3 linked regions of the Callithrix jacchus genome follow. The protein of the gene in region 1 purifies or fractionates together with the protein of each later gene. This does not show direct contact. Links are inferred from orthologs where the notes say so. Each region holds a gene or a part of one and is shown on either strand. Other genes may lie near its edges.

Region 1 (3,652 bases):
CATAGTTTTCTTCCCATTTTGTTTGCTCCCCTGGTGATCTCATCTACGTTTGACTTCAACCATCTTATGACTGCACAGTGTGTATCTCCAGTTGAGACCTTCTGCTCTAGCTCCAGATACCACATACTCAACTATGCATGTGTCACAAGTACATCCAACTCAACGTGTCCAAAACAACATAGCCTTTTTCCCTGTAAATCTGTTCATCTGTCTGTGTTCCTTACCTCATTGAACAGCCTTGCTATCCCCTGGGTGCTCAGGCCAACTTACTTACCTGGTTACCAAATCAACTAAGGCTTCTCTTAGTCTTTCACCTCCCTTCCTCATAGTCTGTTCTACTCAGTCACTAAATCTTACTAAAATATAATACCTTCTAAAAATCCTTCTCCTCCCTTCTCAGTTCTCTCTTAGGTTTAAGACCCAAACTCTTATGGCCTGAATGCCTGCAATAGCCCTGTATCTAGCCTTTTAGACTCTCTCTAGTCTAGGCCAGTCTTTCTAAAGTAGAAATCTGATACGAAGCCTCTGCCTTCTATGATTTCATTTTACTTTTCGGATAAACTAAAAGCTCCCTTCCCCAACAGATAAGATCTTTTATGATTCAACTCCTGCCAATCTTTCAAACCTCAACTCTTGTTACTTTATAAGCCAGCCATACTGAACTACTTGATTCCCTGGATGGGCTGTGTTCTCTCCATCTGTGACTGGATATGTGGTACTTACTATTCCCCTACTTGGAATAGACCCATTTCTTCTAGTTGGTTACCTGCCCAGGTGATGTCTCCAGAACGACTTCCCTAATATCTTACTCCCCCAGGCTTGGGTAGGTGTCTCTTTTGTTTTTATAATACCTTGTATACGTATATATTGCATTATGATTGCTTATTCAGTCTGTTTTCACTAACTGGACCGAGTTTTCCTTGAAGGAGGGACGTTGTTTTCATCTCTGAACCCTGGAGGCCTATCTAGCATAGTTCACTCATTTACATATGAAAAAAATGGCTGGCTAGTCAGAAAGAAAGGCAATAGAAAGGCGAAATGTAGCTAGTTGTGGTATACTATGCATCTTGGAGTTGAGGAAAGTTCTAGAAGTTTGGGTTATATTTGTAGTTGAGGTATGTTCATGCAATGAAATATTGTTTGGCCATAAAAATAAAGGAGGTTCTAATCCATGCTACAACATAGATAAACCTTGAAAACGTTATGCTAAGTGAAAGAAATCAGACACAGCAGGCCATATATTATAGGAGTTTATTTATATGAAATGTCTAGAAAAGGCAGGTCCATAAATAAAGAAAGTAGATGAGTGGTTGCCAGGGACTGGGGATTGGGGTTGAGGGGGAATGGAGAGTGACTGCTAATAGGTGTGGGGTTTCTTTTTGGAGAGATGAAAATGTTCTAGAATTAGAATTAGATATATCCAACTCCATGAATATACTAAAGACCACTGAATTGTACAGTTTAAAATGATAAACTTTTGGTGTTTGAATTAGATATCAGTAAAGCCATTATTAAACAATTACAGTTGATCAATGTAGTATTTTTTTTTTTTTGAGATGGAGTTTTACTCTTGTCACCCAGGCTGAAGTGCAAGGGTGCACTCTCGGCTCACTGCAACCTCCACCTCCCAGTTTAAGCGATTCCCCATCAGCCTCCAGAGTAGCTGGGATTGTAGGTGCCCGCCACCACACTTGGCTAATTTTTGTATTTTTAGTAGAGACGGGGTTTTGCCATGTTGGCCAGGCTGGTCTCGAACACCTGACCTCTGGTCATCCACCCACTTCGGGCTCCCAAAGTGCTGGGATTACAGGCATGAGCCACCATGCCTGGCCCGATCAATGTAGTTTTATAGGGCCAGGCGTGGTAGCTCATGCCGAGGTGGATGGATTGCAAGGTCAGGTGTTCGAGACCAGTCTGGCCAACATGGCAAAACCCCGTCTCTACTAAAAATACAAAAATTAGCCATGCATAGTGGTGGTACATGTCTGTAATTCCAGCTACTTGCGAGGCTGAGCCACGAGAATTGATTGAACCCGGGAGGCAGAGGTTGCAGTGAGCCGAGATCACGCCACTGCACTCCAGCCTCGGTAACAGAGCAAGACTTCATTGTGAAAAAAAAAAAATTAGTTTTATGGCATCTAGTACATTGTGCATATTTGAATGTCAATAGGATGATCCAAGTAAAATCTTAGCAATCTGTTGATGTCATAGTGCCAGATTCAGGACTTCTAATCCACGTTTTGATTTTAAAGCAGGTATTTTAAAATTAAAATCTCACTTCTAGAATTAGAATAACCCAATCAACCTACAAACATTATTGGCTTTTCAATTTGTTAACTATGTGTTATTTGGCCAGCCATGTGCTTTGAGAATAAACCTGGAAGTGCATTAAGTCTTGTAAATTGATGGATGGATGTGAAAAACACGTTTCTTTTCTTTTCTTTCTTTCTTTTTTTTCTTTTTGAGACAGAGTTTCCTTTGTTGCCCAGACTGGAATGAAGTGGCATGGTCTCGGCCCACTGCAACCTCTGCCTACCAGGTTCAAGCAATTCTCTCACCTCAGCCTCTTGAGTAGCTGGGATTACAGGCGCCTGCCACCACACTTGGCTGATTTTTTGTATTTTAGTAGAGACGGAGTTTCGCCATGTTGCTCAGGCTAGTCTCGAACTCCTGAGCTCTCAGGCAGTCTGCCTGTCTTGGCCTCCCAAAGTGGTAAGATTACAGATGTGAACCACTGCTCCCGGCCAGAAAACAGATTTCTGACATGATTGCACTGCTGAGTCGGGACACCTTGGAGCATATTCTGTCTACAGATGATTTGAAGATATTTTCTCCTTTTGTTACCTCCCTCATTACTTCTTTAAATATTGATCTAGAAATGCAGGGATCTGTGCTGTTGCCTAGGGAATATTTTTCTCTCCTGTTTCACTGGATTATATGAAGATTGGGCTGTTGGTTGTATGAATTTAGTAATACTTTAAAATATAACTGCATTTCATCTGAAAACCAGTTCTGAGCTACAGGGAACTACCTACCGTAAGAGATTTTCTCTTACCTGTAGTTATGCATGGGATACAAAAGAAATGATCTCTGTTGGCAAGAAGAGCTTACATTGTTCTTTTTTTCCAGGTCTTTTGGTGGGCCTTGTGCTTCGGTATGGCATTCACGTTCCAAGTGATGTGAATAATGTGACCCTGAGCTGTGAAGTGCAGTCAAGTCCAACTACCTTACTGGTAAATGTTAGTGGAAAATTTTATGAGTATACGCTGAAAGGAGAGATTAGTTCACATGAACTCAATAATGTTCAAGATAATGAAATGCTTAGAAAGGTAAGTTCTTAAAGGAAATCTTTGAATTATTTTTGTGTGTCTAACAGCAGAATGATTCAGGAGAAAATAAGTAATGAATTTTAAATGCTATTTAAAATAATGAGTCTTTTTAAATGAGGTAAAACCTCAATTAACAAACGTAATATGTAAGGAAAGGGGGATGCTGTGTGACTCATTTTCTGATTGAGGCTAAGTAGTATGACTCTTTTTGTTTTACTCTGGGTTGTTGACAGCTTGTGATAAACAGAGACTGGGATTGAGTTAAGCAGAATCTATAAGCGTTTCTTTCCATTTGCAGTTGGTCCATACAGTTTTATTTTTAT
Region 2 (4,122 bases), on another chromosome or scaffold:
TTTACCATATTTCCGAAGTAGGGAGGTTAGTCAAGTTCTCAAGGGAATTTCTGAAGCTTAAATAGATGCTTCAGGCCAGTGTAGTGGCTCACGCCTGTAATCCCAGCACTTTGGGAGGCCGAGGCGGGCGGATCGCTTGAGGTCAGGAGTTCAAGACCGGCCTGGCAAACAGAGTGAAACCCATTCCTACTAAAAATACAAGATTAGCCGGATGCAGTGGCAGGCGCGTGTAATCTCAGCTACTTGGCAGGCGGAGGCAAGAGAATCGCTTGAACCCAGGAGACGGAGGTTCCACTGAACTCCAGCCTGGGCGACAGAGTGAGACTGTCTCACCAAAAAAACAAAAAAAACCCAAAACCTAAATAGCTGCTTCAATAGCTGGGAAGTGTGGGGAATGGATGCAGTGACCTGATGTTAACAGTGCGGGTGATTTACGTGGCTGGCGGGGCCACACCCAGTCATTATTCACTTTTCCCGTCCTCACCAGGTTCTCCCTCTTTCCTTGGTTGAACTTCACTACCAACTTTCTTTACCCTCCTCCAAGGGCAGACTAACCAAAAAAAGAAAAAAAAAAGAGAGTGGATATAGAATTTTATTTTTTAGAAGAAAAGACAAACCATATTAACAGCTCCCATCCCTACGATATAAAAGTGCCAACAGTTACGAAAATAGATGCTGAATAGTCGGTCCTCAGCTTCAATCTGCGGCAATGACTAGTGCCTAAACAAATCATCAAGTCACCGGATTCTGAAAATCACCTACTGTAAGTAAGAGACTACCCTTCTAACTCACTGTAAACAGTCCCAGAAGCGGAGACTAAGTAAAATCTGGAAATTCGACTTAAAAAAGATTCTGAAGGGAGCAGCACCAGGGGAGGTACCAAGCCATCTCCAAACGCCCCTCAACCCAGAGGCGCTTTAATAATCTCTAACCCCGACTTCCCCCTACCTTCTCCACGTGTCCCTTTAACTTTCCTCTATCCTCACCACCCCTCCCAAGTCTTCGATTGCTTCCTCGGTTACCTGCTCCCTAAGTCTCGAAGCGTGGGCAAAACTCTGCAGTCGAAGTGCCGGCCGGCAAGGAAGGGGTGCTGGCAGAGGACGCCGGCGTTCCAGCGCCGCGGGTTCCACCTCGGGAGAAGCGCGCACCGCCCTCCCGGCGGTCCCAGAACTGCAGGGTGAGCTCTACCAACTAGCCCCGCCCACTCCCTAGGCAGGCCCCATCCCCTCGGCACAGAGCTTTTTTGGCCTTGGCAGTCGCCGTAGTCACCGGACAACCCGTTAGGCCCCTCACTTTCCGCGCCAGCTGGGAGTGCGCACCGCGGAAAGCTGGTGGGTGGGCGGTCCTAGCGCTTCCCCTGCTCGCTCCGGGTCTCTGCTGCCACACTCCTGGGGTGGGGAAATAGTCGCCTCCTGAGTCTCCATTCTGCTGCAGTGGCCCCTGCGTTAAATCTCCCTCGAGCTGCAGCTGTACAGGCTGCGGTAGCTCCTGTGCCTCGGTGCAGGTGGCGCAGCCTTTACTGGCTGCCGACCTGGCGGGAGGGTGCGGGAGCGCACGCTCCAGGTAGCGTGGGTCTGCGTCCTTCCTTCCTCCTCCTATTCCTACCCCCGCATTCCCCGCCCCCGCCTCGCTCTGCGCCTCCTCTCTGGCTGCAGCAGAACGCTCCACACAGCCGCAGCGCCTGGTGTCTGGACAGCCAGCCTGTGGGAGGCACGCACGCCCACACTCATCCTGCCTGGCTGCACCCCTGCCCAGCATGTCGGCTCTCGAGTGGTACGCCCACAAGTCTCTAGGCGATGGTATCTTCTGGATTCAAGAACGCTTCTATGAGTCAGGCAACCGCGCCAACATCTGGCTGGTGCGCGGCTCCGAGCAGGACGTGGTGATTGATACAGGCCTGGGGCTGCGCAGCCTCCCGGAGTACCTGTACTCCTCCGGCCTCTTGCAGGACCGCGGGGCCAAAGAGGATGCGGCGCACCGGCCGCTGCTTGCCGTGGCCACCCACGTGCACTTCGACCACTCCGGCGGCCTCTACCAGTTCGACCGGGTGGCCGTGCACCACGCCGAGGCTGAGGCTCTGGCTCGCGGGGACAACTTTGAGACTGTGACCTGGCTCTCCGATAGCGAGGTGGTGCGGGCGCCCAGCCCCGGCTGGAGGGCCAGACAGTTCCGGGTACAGGCGGTGCAGCCCAGCCTCATCCTGCAGGATGGTAATGGGCCCCCTCGGGCGCGCGCTCTCGTTAAGGGAGGGTGTTGGGAAGAGACTGTCCGAGTGCCGCATGTTGGAGACCTGCGTGGCGATAAGGGGATTTATTTTGGCACCTCCTAGAACCACTTGTTTCCCCGTTCCCTGAGTTAAAAACCCACTTGACCAGCGCCAAGGCCTTCACAGACTTCCCTGCCAGAGATCAGCTCTGGCACCCTGTAGCGATTCTGAGTACTCCTTTGAAAGCACGCACCACCCCCTCCCTAGCCAGTTTCCTGCGTCGGCAACGGTAGTAACACTGCAGAGACTTGTGACTGACTAGGGATTTCCCATTCTTTCCCTAAGCACCTGTCCGACATTTCCAGGCGCTTACATAGTGAGTAGACTTTTAAGAATGATGCCTCACGGATAGTGCGTGTCATGATCTGTGCCTTTGAGAACTGCAGATTTCATCAGCTTGGTCACCACCGGGCATGGGCAGTGTCCACCTGTAGCCTTAGAAAGTCATCAGACCAGTGATTCCAATCCGCTAATGGATTGGAAACCTTTCAGGTAGATTTGTATTCTTGATGTTGCCTCACGAGAGAAAATGCTTGTTAGTAATCATAAACGTGGAATATGTCTGTCTTGCTTTATGACAGATATCTGGTCTGATTGAAAGCAAAGCCTGAGAAAGGAGGTAATTTTCGGTGGAGGTAAATTACGTGGACTAATGCATAGGTCCTGTTTGGCTCTGTGAAATACAGGTATGGAATTAGAGAAATTCATGGAGTGGAAATAAATAGATTAGAGCCTCAGCGCATTCTCCCTACGCAGGCACTTAAATAATTGAGCTAATTTGCCATAACAGCAGTATTTGGTATATTAATTTTCTATTTTCTTTTTAGAATACTTTTGATTTCATTTTATCCTCATAACACATTTAAAGTGAGGCCAGTGACTCCCCAGTTAAATGGCTTGCCTGAGCCAGATCATGATAAAAGCTTGGATATGAATCCAGGCACAATAGATCAAAGCATGCAGAACATACATAAATCCGACCTCATAAATATATGATGACAATTCTGTGTAGAATGCGAAAGGCCCCTTTCCTTTAGCCTGAGGCCATTTTAATCGCTAATTTGGTTTATTAAAACGTGCCTCTCTGTAAGGTAGAAAAATCCAGTTGCTACAGTATAATGAGCCTCACTTTATGACCAAACAGTATGGCAAATAATGAAATGTTTTACAAAAATCAGTTTATTTCACATATGAGATCTTACTCATTTGAGATATTTTTTAAATTCCAATATATTTTAAAATTATATTGCACTATTTATCAGTGCTAAAAAAAATTGCAAGATTCTGTACCTCACCCCCACCCAACAAAAGTCTTCATTAAAGTTTTAAATCTAAATTTTAAAAAAAGCTGGTTTAGATGGGAGTCTTACATTATCTGACAATATGAGATGAAAGTACATGCATATTAAATTTTAATTTACATTGAAATTATACTTAATTACTGTATTTCTTGATAAAAATGGCTACTTTTAGAGGTAAGATTGCCATGCCATTGATGGGTATCCAGACAAAATTCTGATACCCAGACCAAAAATGTTTACATTAGTATTAAAGTATATTTAAATTGTTTAAAAGAATAAATTACTTTTGATATTTACTTTTGATTCTGTGTCAGCAATGGGAAATAAAAGGTTAAAGAATCATGGGGATTGGTTTATAGATGAGGAAAATCCATGCAGGCCTGAGTATCATGTGTCAGGTCACATAGCCCATCTGGGAAAGAGCTGGGACTAGAACCCCCAGCTGATGGCAGAATTCTAACATTTTTGGAGCTGGAAAGGGCCTGCAAACCACTTGTGTGGTGCTTTAAGCCTTTAAAGGGGTGAAAAGAAAGATTGTTTACCAGACACTTTGAA
Region 3 (3,652 bases), on another chromosome or scaffold:
CTGTATGTAATGTGGAAACCAAAAACAATCTTTCCTGTGTTCTTGTCTTGGGAAATACTTCCTTTACTTTTTGGTGATCTTTTATTTGTTAATATGCTATTTATTTATGTTTGTTCTCTGTGGACATTATCATGCATTTTTTCAGTTATTGACCCTCCTTAGGATTCCATTTAGCAGAACCTCTAACTTTTGTTATTATCATTACCAAAAGATATTAAGAATGTTCTAGGAGCCATATAAAGAAAAACCCCTACCCCACCAAGAATGGGCTCTGGGGAAAAGAAAAGATGAAAAATCCACTCTACTTCTTCCATGTAGTTCTCCATCCACAGTGTGGGACTACGTGTATAGGTGAAAGTACCTTTATACAAGCAGGCCCTTCTGATACTCAAATGCCCTCAAAATAAGGTTGATCCTTATTTTGACATCAATATCACTTCATCAAGTGAGTGAAAAATAGTGCTTCAGGATATTTGGCTTGTGACACTGGGAAAATCAAGTTTTATTTCTGCCTCATGTAGGGAGGTCTCAATGGAGAGCCACCAAAGGGTGACTTCAGTTCTAACACCTTCAACAATATAATATTGTGTGGGAGGGGGATATAGGTTCAGTAATCCTTTTAGAAAATTAATTAAATTATTTTTCTACATGATAAGCATCTGATTAGCAATAGCCATTGGAAGACTTGGTGTTGATTTTGTTGCTGCAATCATCTGCTTTCTATCTATTCCTTTTCTATAGAGGCTATGATATATACCCTCCATCATTCTCCTTCTCATCTTCTACACTCCCAGAGGCAAGAAACATCCTTGCAAAAAGTTATGGCCTATGGGATTCGTAACTGCTAGGCTCTGAAACAACTGAACACTATTTAAATCTCCTTCTTCCTAAAACACAAAAACTATAAACAGGGTGGCTGCTCAGAAGACTATTACTTCTCTTTGCCATAGTCACACATTCTTGGGAGAGTCAGATGTATAAACTTGATAATAAACAAGTACGACAGCTAGTTATTTCAAGGTAATGTACTGTTTTTATGAGCTTTAACCAGGGTCTCCATTACGAATCATTATCATTGTCTTACCTTTTTCAAGCATTTCACCATCACTTTGCTTTCTTTCCTCTTCCAGGTCTATTGGTTTTTCCAGGGCTGCTTTCTCTTCCTTTACTTCTTGCTCTAGTACTCCCTTTGTTTGTGGTATACATATGTCGGGTTTTTTATACTCTGTATCTTTATATTTCTTCTGTGGTAGTTTAACATAAGTTATTTTTACTAAAGGCAGAGCATTATTTTGAAAAACTTTTTTTCAATAATTGACAACATAATGAACTATCAGTAAAACTTACAAAACATTTAATTTATTACTTTTAAGAATCACTTGCTCAATATATATAGAACTCTTGAACAATAAAAAATTTGGGGAAAAGAAGTTGAAGGAAATCTATTTTCTTTACCTTTACTTTTCTTGGCCAACAAAATGAAGTAATTAATGCTATTGGCACTCCTCCTGTCACGAGATAAATCAACCAAAGCCATGGGTGCCCTTCAGTAGCTGCCATTAACTGTTTTAATACACCAGGCTGTAGATGAGATAAGCATAAAAATACAATTCAAATTTTACAGACCTTTACTGGGTAACACAAGATACAAAGAACTTATTTACTCGGGCATTTTACATTAAGGAGTGATGAACTTGTAAGTAAAGGAAGTTTCATTTTCCCACCTTATACTTTGTAAAGTTTAATTTAATTATTAGCATGTATCAAGGAGTGAGACTTTGTAGCAGAAAGTATGTTATGACAAAAATGGAAACTTCTAACACACTGGCAAGAAATATGGTAATTTTCCTTTTTGGTAAATTTCAGAATAGAACTATCTTTTATGGATGTATCACCTGGTTCATTTGAAGTGATCATTCATTCTGTACTCTGATCATTCATTCTGTACTTTTAAGGAATTTACTAAAAATCATACCTCAGAATTGTTTTTTTTTTATATAAACACATTTCCTACACAAGACCCTCAATAAGGATATTATTTCTCTTATTAAAATAAAATTAAAAACCATTAAATGTTTTAGTTACAAGAGGTTCAAAATGAGAATCCCTCTTTACCTATTCTTTTGATGGTTTTTTGCTAATGACCAAAGCAACTAAATGTAATATATGAATTTTTCTTTATAGCAACTGAATTTAAAGATACATTTCTAAGATGCATTGTGTTGAAATATTTAGCTTAACCTTTTCTAAACAGTGTTAGATATGGGGGAAAAACTGGAACAGAATTTAATAATGTTAAACTATAAATTCTTTGTACATTTCTCTAAGTAAAAAATAGTTGAAATGCATAAGCAGTAATATTTAGATTATTGTTAGGCCTTGAATTGGCAAGATAACAAAGATATTGAGTAGTCTTCCTCTATAAACAGTAATTAAGCCTTAAATCCCATTAGAGCTATTATAATTTAATGAATAAAATGAGGACTTACATATGCATATATAGTTATGTAGTTTGTAACGAAGCAACATAAAAGGCAAAATATTCTGTCTACATAAACTTATTCAAACATATTTCCTTAGCATTTAATAATTATTGCACATTTATTTCCCTTTAAAAGAGACATCTGAATAACCTATAACCAAGACCAAGTCTTATTATTATTATTTATAGTTATATCACTACTGCAATTGGTCAATACCATACCTCATTAGCATTTGCTATCATTATTTTCCATCTCCAACCATCTGCAGCCCAGTGATCTGCTACTTCCTTTTCTGAACAGATAATAAAATTATCAAAGTAGATATCAGAGGTCATGGACCAAAGCTCTAAACCAAGAGCACTGAAGGAAGTCAGAAGAAATGGATGATCATCTTCAAAATAATCTGGATTAGGAATTTTTCGAGGACTCCAGACTCCCTGGAAGAAAAAGTAATTGAGGAGATTTTCAAATAAAATAACTTCATTATAAATGCTGCTTAATAAGTATCTGCTGTTGAATAAAATTAGCAATGCTAACTGGGAAAAAGAAAACTTTAACTGATATTAATTCACAAGTAATATACTGGAAATAAAATCTTGTTTCTTTTTGCTCTGTAAACAATGGTCTCTATGAGTGATACTGACTTTAAATACTACAAAAAAGGAAAAGGGAAAATCCAACAGACACAGAAATATAAGTAAATTTCACAATTTATTTATTTTAGATATTTTTTTAGATTTAGTAAAGTTATTGAATGCAAGTTGTTCAATTTGTCCAAATCAGAAAGATCACTGTATAGCAAAAATGGGGTCATTCCATTTAACATATACCTATGACAGGTATCATTAATCAGGTATGGATGAATCTCAGCACAACTACTCAACATAAAACTTCCATTAGATCCTAATTGATTAAACTGTCAATTAAATCAAATACATGTGAAAATATCATTGCTCACTGACTCACTCTACCATCACATGTATGTATTCTGGGCCAGGCACTATGCTAGATGATGGAGACATACATGGTTCCTGTATTATGGAGTTTGAAGTCTAATGAAAGAGACAGACGTTAAACAAAAAAATTAACCAAAAGAAACATTTTGTGTTAAATGCTTTTAATAAAAGCTACAGTGAGTACTTAGAATATGAAACTGCATATATATAATG

What was found.
Region 2: the proteins of SLC9A6 (region 1) and MBLAC2 purify together in Homo sapiens (co-immunoprecipitation; 3 studies listed by BioGRID and IntAct, counting the BioPlex papers as one, with this or other methods). This does not show direct contact. The link is inferred for Callithrix jacchus from reciprocal best matches to the Homo sapiens genes SLC9A6 and MBLAC2.
Region 3: the proteins of SLC9A6 (region 1) and CLGN purify together in Homo sapiens (co-immunoprecipitation; 3 studies listed by BioGRID and IntAct, with this or other methods). This does not show direct contact. The link is inferred for Callithrix jacchus from reciprocal best matches to the Homo sapiens genes SLC9A6 and CLGN.

What each region holds. Positions count from the first base shown.
Region 1 is NC_133524.1:132,789,218-132,792,869, forward strand, and holds part of SLC9A6 (sodium/hydrogen exchanger 6), read left to right. Parts: intron 1-3,129; coding exon 3,130-3,329; intron 3,330-3,652. UniProt on the Homo sapiens protein: Endosomal Na(+), K(+)/H(+) antiporter. Mediates the electroneutral exchange of endosomal luminal H(+) for a cytosolic Na(+) or K(+).
Region 2 is NC_133503.1:120,289,801-120,293,922, forward strand, and holds the start of MBLAC2 (acyl-coenzyme A thioesterase MBLAC2), read left to right. Parts: upstream 1-1,270; 5' UTR 1,271-1,756; coding exon 1,757-2,210; intron 2,211-4,122. UniProt on the Homo sapiens protein: Acyl-CoA thioesterases are a group of enzymes that catalyze the hydrolysis of acyl-CoAs to the free fatty acid and coenzyme A (CoASH), providing the potential to regulate intracellular levels of acyl-CoAs, free fatty acids and CoASH.
Region 3 is NC_133504.1:56,554,407-56,558,058, reverse strand, and holds part of CLGN (calmegin), read right to left. Parts: intron 2,921-3,652; coding exon 2,705-2,920; intron 1,582-2,704; coding exon 1,456-1,581; intron 1,245-1,455; coding exon 1,085-1,244; intron 1-1,084. UniProt on the Homo sapiens protein: Functions during spermatogenesis as a chaperone for a range of client proteins that are important for sperm adhesion onto the egg zona pellucida and for subsequent penetration of the zona pellucida.